2 linked regions of the Lonchura striata genome follow. The protein of the gene in region 2 interacts with the protein of the main gene of each other region in a pairwise test. Links are inferred from orthologs where the notes say so. Each region holds a gene or a part of one and is shown on either strand. Other genes may lie near its edges.

What was found.
Region 1: the proteins of PGCKA1 (region 2) and PDCD10 interact in binary tests that used the Homo sapiens proteins (3 or more experiments, as listed by UniProt). The two-hybrid records come from large-scale screens. The link is inferred for Lonchura striata from reciprocal best matches to the Homo sapiens genes PGCKA1 and PDCD10.

The regions. Positions count from the first base shown.
Region 1 is NC_134612.1:23,939,741-23,943,488, reverse strand, and holds the start of PDCD10 (programmed cell death protein 10), read right to left. Parts: upstream 2,622-3,748; 5' UTR 2,556-2,621; intron 2,550-2,555; exon of another isoform or gene 2,421-2,549; intron 1-2,420. UniProt on the Homo sapiens protein: Promotes cell proliferation. Modulates apoptotic pathways. Increases mitogen-activated protein kinase activity and STK26 activity. Important for cell migration, and for normal structure and assembly of the Golgi complex.
Region 2 is NC_134606.1:22,248,904-22,252,651, forward strand, and holds the start of PGCKA1 (PDCD10 and GCKIII kinases-associated protein 1), read left to right. Parts: upstream 1-1,350; 5' UTR 1,351-1,478; intron 1,479-1,640; exon of another isoform or gene 1,641-1,757; intron 1,758-3,748. UniProt on the Homo sapiens protein: Acts as a tumor suppressor. Acts as a tumor suppressor for colorectal cancer cell proliferation by targeting KEAP1/USP17/ELK1/CDK6 axis.

The DNA.
Region 1 (3,748 bases), on a different chromosome or scaffold from region 2:
TCTGAAGCAGTGCTTAAAGCAAAGAGAGCAGACTCTCATGATTTCAACTTTTCAAGTTTTAAACCAACAGAAACATTTGGTATCAATTGGCAGGGTTTCAGCTCTGTCATCAGCAGATCTACCTCTGCACTGATGTTGTCTCTGTTCCCTTCTCCAGGCTCCATCTACCCTAGATCTGGTAAGTGCTTAGACATTAATATTCTTTTTCAGAAAAGTACTACAGAGGAACAAGGCCCAAGGCAGGGATTACAAATATTATTATTTCAGTGGTTGGCTTCTAGCAAAAATCACGGCTCCATTCCTGATATAAAAGACTACCTTACTGCCAAGAGGTTTGCTCCACTTTTTGCAGGGCGGATTCAAGAACAGGTTTCAGCTTTAAGCTGATCTGAGATCCCTGAGTTACCAGAAAAATCCATTCAAGTCCAGGAAGAAAGAGTGAGGGAAGGGAAATAACAGCATAAATTCCAGCTGAATTCAGAGGCAGAGCTTGAATCAAAATGTAAGACCAATGTGCATGGGAGGAGGGAGTGTAGGTAATTTACTACTGATGTTGTAAAGTTTATGGAAGTAAAAAAAAATTGCAGAATATGCTCTTTTAACTATACACACATCACACACCTGTCTTGGCAATTCTGTTTCTGTCATTAATGGTCACCTGAATTAAAAAAAAAAAAAATGCCCTAACCAACACATCTTTTTTTTTTTTTCTTTTTTTTTGGTCAGATGTTACTTTACCTGCCACTGTATTTTAATTATCAATTGCAATTATTTCCCATTGTATAACTCAGATTATTTGATACAAAGCTTCAAAGCTTTGTGTTTCAGTTACAGAATTACTTTCCTTCTTTTTAAAACTGAGCAGGGGTGGATTCACTGGGATTAGCATACAGATCAAGTATTAGGATAACAATCTGTATTTTAAAATCAGCAACAATAGCAAGAGATTAAAAGGCATCCTACTGAACTGATTCCACATCCCACTGATTCTTACACCAAATAGCTTCACTGCAGAGTTAATAAAAGGAATGTCACCAGCAAACAGCATTGAAGTATGAAAGTGTCTTCAAATGCCTCTCACTAGAACAGAAATGCAGTTTTCAAACATCTCCACACACGTGTAACAGTCACCTGCAGTAAAATTCACTCTGGCAAAGCAGAACTGCTTATGCATTTGGTTACTGTAAGAGCAGTTCTATGACTAATTCAGAAATGACACAGACCTGTGATAAATCCAAGATGTCTATTTTTAGAACCATATCAACTTAAAAAACAAAAACCAAGCCTAGCATGAAGTCAGGCTTCTAATCAGTCTGTGCTTTTTTTTCTGGACTTCAAAATGGAAGTGCTTTAATTTGTCCTAATACAGCCAGTCTGTGTCTCACATGAGACCCTACAGCCTGTGCTCCAGTTCCAGCAGTCAGCAACACCAGAACTGTTATACAGCGTCACTGAAACAGGTCAAGAATGCTGTAATATATAACCACAACAGCATAATATTTCTCTTTCTTTTTCACATCCTTGGGAATGTGAAAGTGAAGCCATTACTTTACCAAACACAAACAGGTATGACACAGCTCCAAAGGGACAAAAATACATTCCAATGTGCGAACAAATACCAGAGGAGAATTAGTTCCTCTGATAACAGGAACAGCACAAGGTTTCAGCCACCCAGTATGTGCGAGCTACAGGAAAAACCCCAACCCAACTCACCAGTTCAGTGAGCAACTTAATGGGACACCCCAGCCCTGACTGCTCGGTCCCCAAGGGGGGCACAGCCCCTGCGGAGGAGGAATCACAGAATCAATTAGGCTGGGAAAGACATCCAAGATCACCGAGTGCGACCTTTGAACAAACACCACCTTGTCAAGCAGACCATGGCACCGAGTGCCACGTCCAGCCTCTCCTTAAACACCTCCAGGAGCGGTGTTACCACCTCCCAGGGCATCCCATTCCGCTGTCTAATCACCCCTGCTGTGAATAATTCCCCCCTAATGTTCAACCTCCACCTCCCCTGGCGCAGGAAGGCGAAAGGAGCCGAGGCGCCCTTTCTCCCTGCCCGCCGCAGCCTCCTGACAGCTCTCCGCTCCGGGAGGACGAGCTAAAAATAATTCCCACAAAAATAAAACACATCCGGGCCCGCGCCTGCCCGCCCGGGCCGAGCGAACCAGCACCAGGCCGGGAAGAGCGGAGCGGGGCCAGGCCGCGGCCCCGCGGGAAGGGCGGGGGGAAGGACAAGCGCGGGCGCTGCCGCGGGGCCGGAGGAAGGAGTCGCCGCCCGGCCGGGACAGCCGCGCACCTTCCCCGCACGGCCGGGCCGCCCTCGGCCGCTCCCTCCGCCCGGCCGCCGCTCTCGCAGCCCCGCGGGGCGCGGCGGGCCCCGCGGCCGGAGCCGGGCAGGGCAGGGCTCGGCACCTCACCTGCCCCGGCCCGCCGAGCCCCCGCCGCTCCCGAGGGGCTTCGCCGCCGCCGCCGCGCCGGAAGCGCCCGCGAGGAGCAGCAGCAGCAGCAGGAGGAGGAGGAGGAGGAGGAAGACCCGCGGTGTTACCACACACCAGGCGTTGTCCGGAACCGCGCGCGGGGCCCTGGGGCTCGTAGTCCGCCCTCCGCGACCACAAGCCCCACAATGCCGAGCGGAGCGGGGGCGGGCCGGGGCGGGGACAGCGGCCGGGCGGAGCGGGGCTCGCGGGAGCCGAGCGCAGCCCGCCCTGCGCGGCAGAGCCGCGGCGGAGCGCGGAGCGGCGGCAGCACCGCCGGGCAGCGGGCGCGGCGGCGGCGGCAGTGCCGGTGAGTGCGCCCGGCCCTCGGCGGGGCCGAACAAAGCGGGCGGCTCCGGCTCGTCTCTTACACCCGGAGGAGCCCCGGAGTGCGGGGGTCCCCGGAGGGGCGGAAGGAGGGACGGGTGCGCCGCTGCCGCGGGAGAGGAGGCGCTGGGGATCGGAGCCGCTCGTCCGACGTGCGATGAGCGGCGAGGAGCTGCCGGCAAGCCCGGAGCCCGTCCGGAGCTCGGCGGGCTCCTGCGGGCGGCGGCGCGGGGACGCGCTCTCTCCCCGGCGCCCGCAGCCCTTGCCCCGGCGGAGTTGCGCTCGGGCGAAGGAAGCGCGGCGGTGCCGTGCCCCGGGGCCCGGCCCCGCTGTCCCGCGGGTCCCTGCGGCCGGGCAGCCCTTCCCAGCCCGCCCTGGGCTCCCAGAGCCCGTCTGCCTGCCGGCGGCTCCCGCCTGCCGAGCCCCGTCCCGGCTCAGCGCCGCGGTCCGTCCGTGCGCCCCGAGCGCTGGCCGCTCAAAGAACTAAACTTGTGCGTTCTGTGTCGGGGTGATTCCGCTCCTAGTAAGCTTTGAAGCTTCGAATTACGTTGTAGGAAGAGGTCAGCGATTAAAATTTACTATTAATACTAAAGGCAGCAACTCGGATCTACGTTGGCATTTCTGATGTGTCGCTGTTAACGCTCACTTTTTAAAAAATGCTGATCGCTTCTGCCTAATGTTAATCACACGAATTCCCCAGTGTGAGGGTGGGGATGAGCAGCTGAAGCATTAAACTTGTCAGACAGTGGCTGTAAGTTCTTGCGGAGGGTGGGAAGAGTTGGGTGCCGGTGGGAGCAGAGGGACGATGTGTGTCACCCATCCACATCTCCTCCTTCGGGCTGGGGAAAAGCAGGAAAACAGGATTGGATTGAACCTGAATTGTTGTTACACATACGTGAATTTTCTCCTTCCCACACCACCGTTTTTTGTTTTAATCGGATCGA
Region 2 (3,748 bases):
CAATGATAAAACACCACAGAGCTGGCCATGGGGTGACCTCCGGCCGGGCAGGACGATTAGGCCGGTCCGAGCACACACTGTGCACAGGGCTGCTCACAGCTGCAGATCCGCGCTGCAGGGCAGCCCTCAACTGTCTGCACCTCCTGCCTCCATCACCTTCCCTCACAACGTGGGGGTAGGTTAGCATGACAATCCTTTATTTACTGACCAGAAAGCCTTTGGAGAGTTTAGTGAAGGCTTTGTACTAAAACTTCCTGGCTCTTCAAGTCCATTTTCAGCTAAAACTAATGGTTTGCAGGAGAAAAATATTTAAAATGTGCCAAGGACCTGTTGCAGAGCTTTGCAGCACGCTAGCTCATAGATTGCAAATGATGCAGTCTTCACGTTACGACTTAGTTGTCTGCTCAAGATAAGAATGTCCAAAGCAGCTTTTATTCATTTCTATGTTGGCACATGACGTTTCTGCCCCTGTGTGTGCTGGCTCCCGCAGCGGCAGGCTGGGGCCAGGCGGCGCATCCGAGTCCCGGCTCCGGGCACGGGACCTGCCTGCCCCAGCCCGCTGCTGACCGGAGCTCGATCCCTGCGGAGGGTACGAGGGGAAGCACGGCAGGGCAGAGCAAGCCCTTGGTGATTTAAATCCAACACCCTCCTTGCACAGGGAAGGCGAGGATACAATCCCTGCAAGGCAGGGAGGCAACTGTATATCCGGCATTATTTAGAGTGGGAACAGAACGCCTACTCCATGCAGCAGCCAAACTTCATTTAAGTGCTTCCATGAGGCTTAACACCAATTAAAAAAAAAAAAAAACAACAAAAAAAAAAAAAAACAACAAAAAAAAAAAAACCCACAAAACCAAACAAGCAAACAAAACCAAACACCAACAACCACACCCTAAGGGTATCGAGAAGGCTTTGCTAGCTCTGCTTTGCACCCCCCACGCCCCCGCTGCGACACAGGCAATCTTAGTGCCAGTTCTCTCCCGGAGGTTGTTTCACAGTTTCCAGGTACATCGACATACCTTAAAGATCACACATGACCCAGGTGCTTGCCTAACTTAAACCTCTCCTCCTGTACAGGGAAATCTCTCTCAAATGGCTGTGGCAACAGAACATCTTTCATATCACTTCTGGAAACACCACGTTCAAATCAAAATGACTCCAGGAAAGTCGGCAGCTTTCAAAGGTAAATGTGAGGCGATGCCTGCAAATACACCTCAGAGCTGAGTTTCTCTTTAGAGAATCCCACAAAACAGTGGGGAATAAATGTCATTGCCAGGCAACATGCAACAGAGGAATTTCTGCCAAATCCCTCCAGCACTGTTTGTGATATGGGGAGATTTAATTTAAAGAATATGCAAATCCCAGCATGAATACACTGACAGGCTCGGGCATTGTTGTGGTCGCTGTGACTGTCCCGGAGGAAAGGAATTCTGTGGCACGTGTTCTTCCGCTTCTCCTTCTAACCCCGGCCAGAAACGGTGAGTCCTATCAGGTTTTTATCCAGCTTGCAGGTAAAGGGTTACAGATTATAGGAAGTATTAAATGCAAACTTTAAAGGATTTTATTTTCATCTAGAGTCACATGATGCCTTAATACCCAATGACACTAACTACAGTGTCTCATTAAGAGGTCATGCAAACTCCCAAGCTAAACAAGGCATTCTTACATATTTAACATTCAAATGCAGAAGCCAAGCTAAGCCATGGAAGATTGTAATCAGGAAAAGCTACACTTCCTGATCCACAGAAATGCTACAGGTAGGAAAAGTTCTTTTAAACTTTTAACATTGTGCTTTCTAGAGAAACTGTTTACAGGGTATATTTTGTAATGTCTTTTCTACCTTTCAAAACAATCTAAAATATTATACTGAAAATATCTGATCTCACTTGTTCCACCTGTTGTAGAGTCTGGATTGTTTTTACACTCAGAAATAAAGTTGGCTCAGTGAAAATCCAAAGACAACAATTTTTAAACCAAACCTATTTAAAAACTGATGTTTTAAAATATCTCTTAGTTATTGAAATGGTTAAGTTGGAGTATGTGGGGTAAAGGTGGAGTTAATATGTCTTTCATGTCTGAAAGGAAGGGATTCAGAACTCTTCTAACTTCCTTATATCATGAATTGCACATTGTTTCAGTCACACCAATCCCACTGTGTTTTAACATATTTGACATCCTCAATGAACTTACATGATTTCTAAATTCCTCTTCTAGAATTTGGTACATTTAAAAATAAAATCTTACAAGCAAATGAAAGACAGATGGGGAGTACTACAGTGTTCCATAAAAGGAGAATAAAATTGCAAAATACAGAGTAAGAGGAAAGTCAGTTAAAAGCAGTTTATTTTAAATTGAGAAGTTAAATTGCATTAAAGCATATCAATTTTCACATGGCACAATAAAGTTTCACTGACAATTACTGGCAATGTTGCAGGAGTTAATATTTTTTACTTGCACTGAAGGAGTTTTCCAGTCTACAGCATTAGCATTTTTATCACAAAGATCTTTTTCTCATCCCAATTTGTAATTGTTTTCAGACAGTATTCTAAATACTCCATTTTTAATACCTCTATAGGAATTTAAAGACTGCATTCTAGGGGGTTACAGAATCCAAATTTACTGAAGATCTCTAGTGCATCACAGGATTGTCACAGCCTAACAATTCCCACTGCTTAAAAGCAGCAAGTGTTGTTTATTGTTTTCTTTCTACAATGGTTGGGTGTTGATTGCTGGTAATGTTATTTTTCCACAGTTCATTCTATAAAATACATCTCTTTTTCTTGTTTCCACATAATGCTAGAAAATACCAAAAGAAGTGGAGAATAATACCTGAAGCAACTTGCTTCAGATAAGCTCTCAACTTTCTTTGGGAAAAGAAAGGGGGTTGTCTTTACCAGTATTTAAAATAAATTTGAGTCAAACAAGTTTACCAGTGGCACTTCAAAAAATTGTCATTCACTTTCAGGTTGCCCATCTTGAAACATAGTAGGTCTCATGCTGAGGAGGGCTAGGACCTGAGCACAGCCTAGATCAGCCTGAGCCAGGAAGTGTCTCTTTATCAAACTCGTTGTACCAACGTCCTGACAAGAGTAGCTCCCAACTGTGCCGATGGGAGTGCAGCAATAAACCACTACACTTTAAAAGAACTGCTCTGAGCTTACTATAACTGACTTCTGAGCCTATATTATTTACAAAAATCTATTTAGAAACTGTGGTAGATAAGGGGCTTATTTACTAAGCTACATTTATATCTCGGGAGAGGAACACTGTAGCACCCAGATCAACAGGAAACCACAGGCTTTCACTGAGAAGAGCATTGCATCCAAAACATGAAAAGCAGCCTGCCATGGCCAGTCTCTTCTAAAAAATGCTTTTACAAGTTGCATGTATGATGGTAAACCAGCTTAGTAACTCAGTAGTTAAATTTGTTGAACATTAATTACACAAAGTGTCTTTGTAGGGTGGAAGGTACAATGCATACTGAAGTTACTCTGTCACTGAAAAGAGTGGCCATTGAATGAGAGAGAGACTTCCTTAACTCCTTTCCTAAAGAAAGGAATTCAAGTGAGGCACTTGCTATCAAGCACTCTAGTAGGTTTTTTTTATGTCCACAATTTTACTCTTGGTGCAGAAATTGGTACTGCTCTAATTATTACCTTTTATTCTTTTCTGATGAAACAAACAAACCTATTTTCTTGCTTTGTCACATCAATATAGAACCAAACGCAGTGCTGTTTCACAGGGAAGA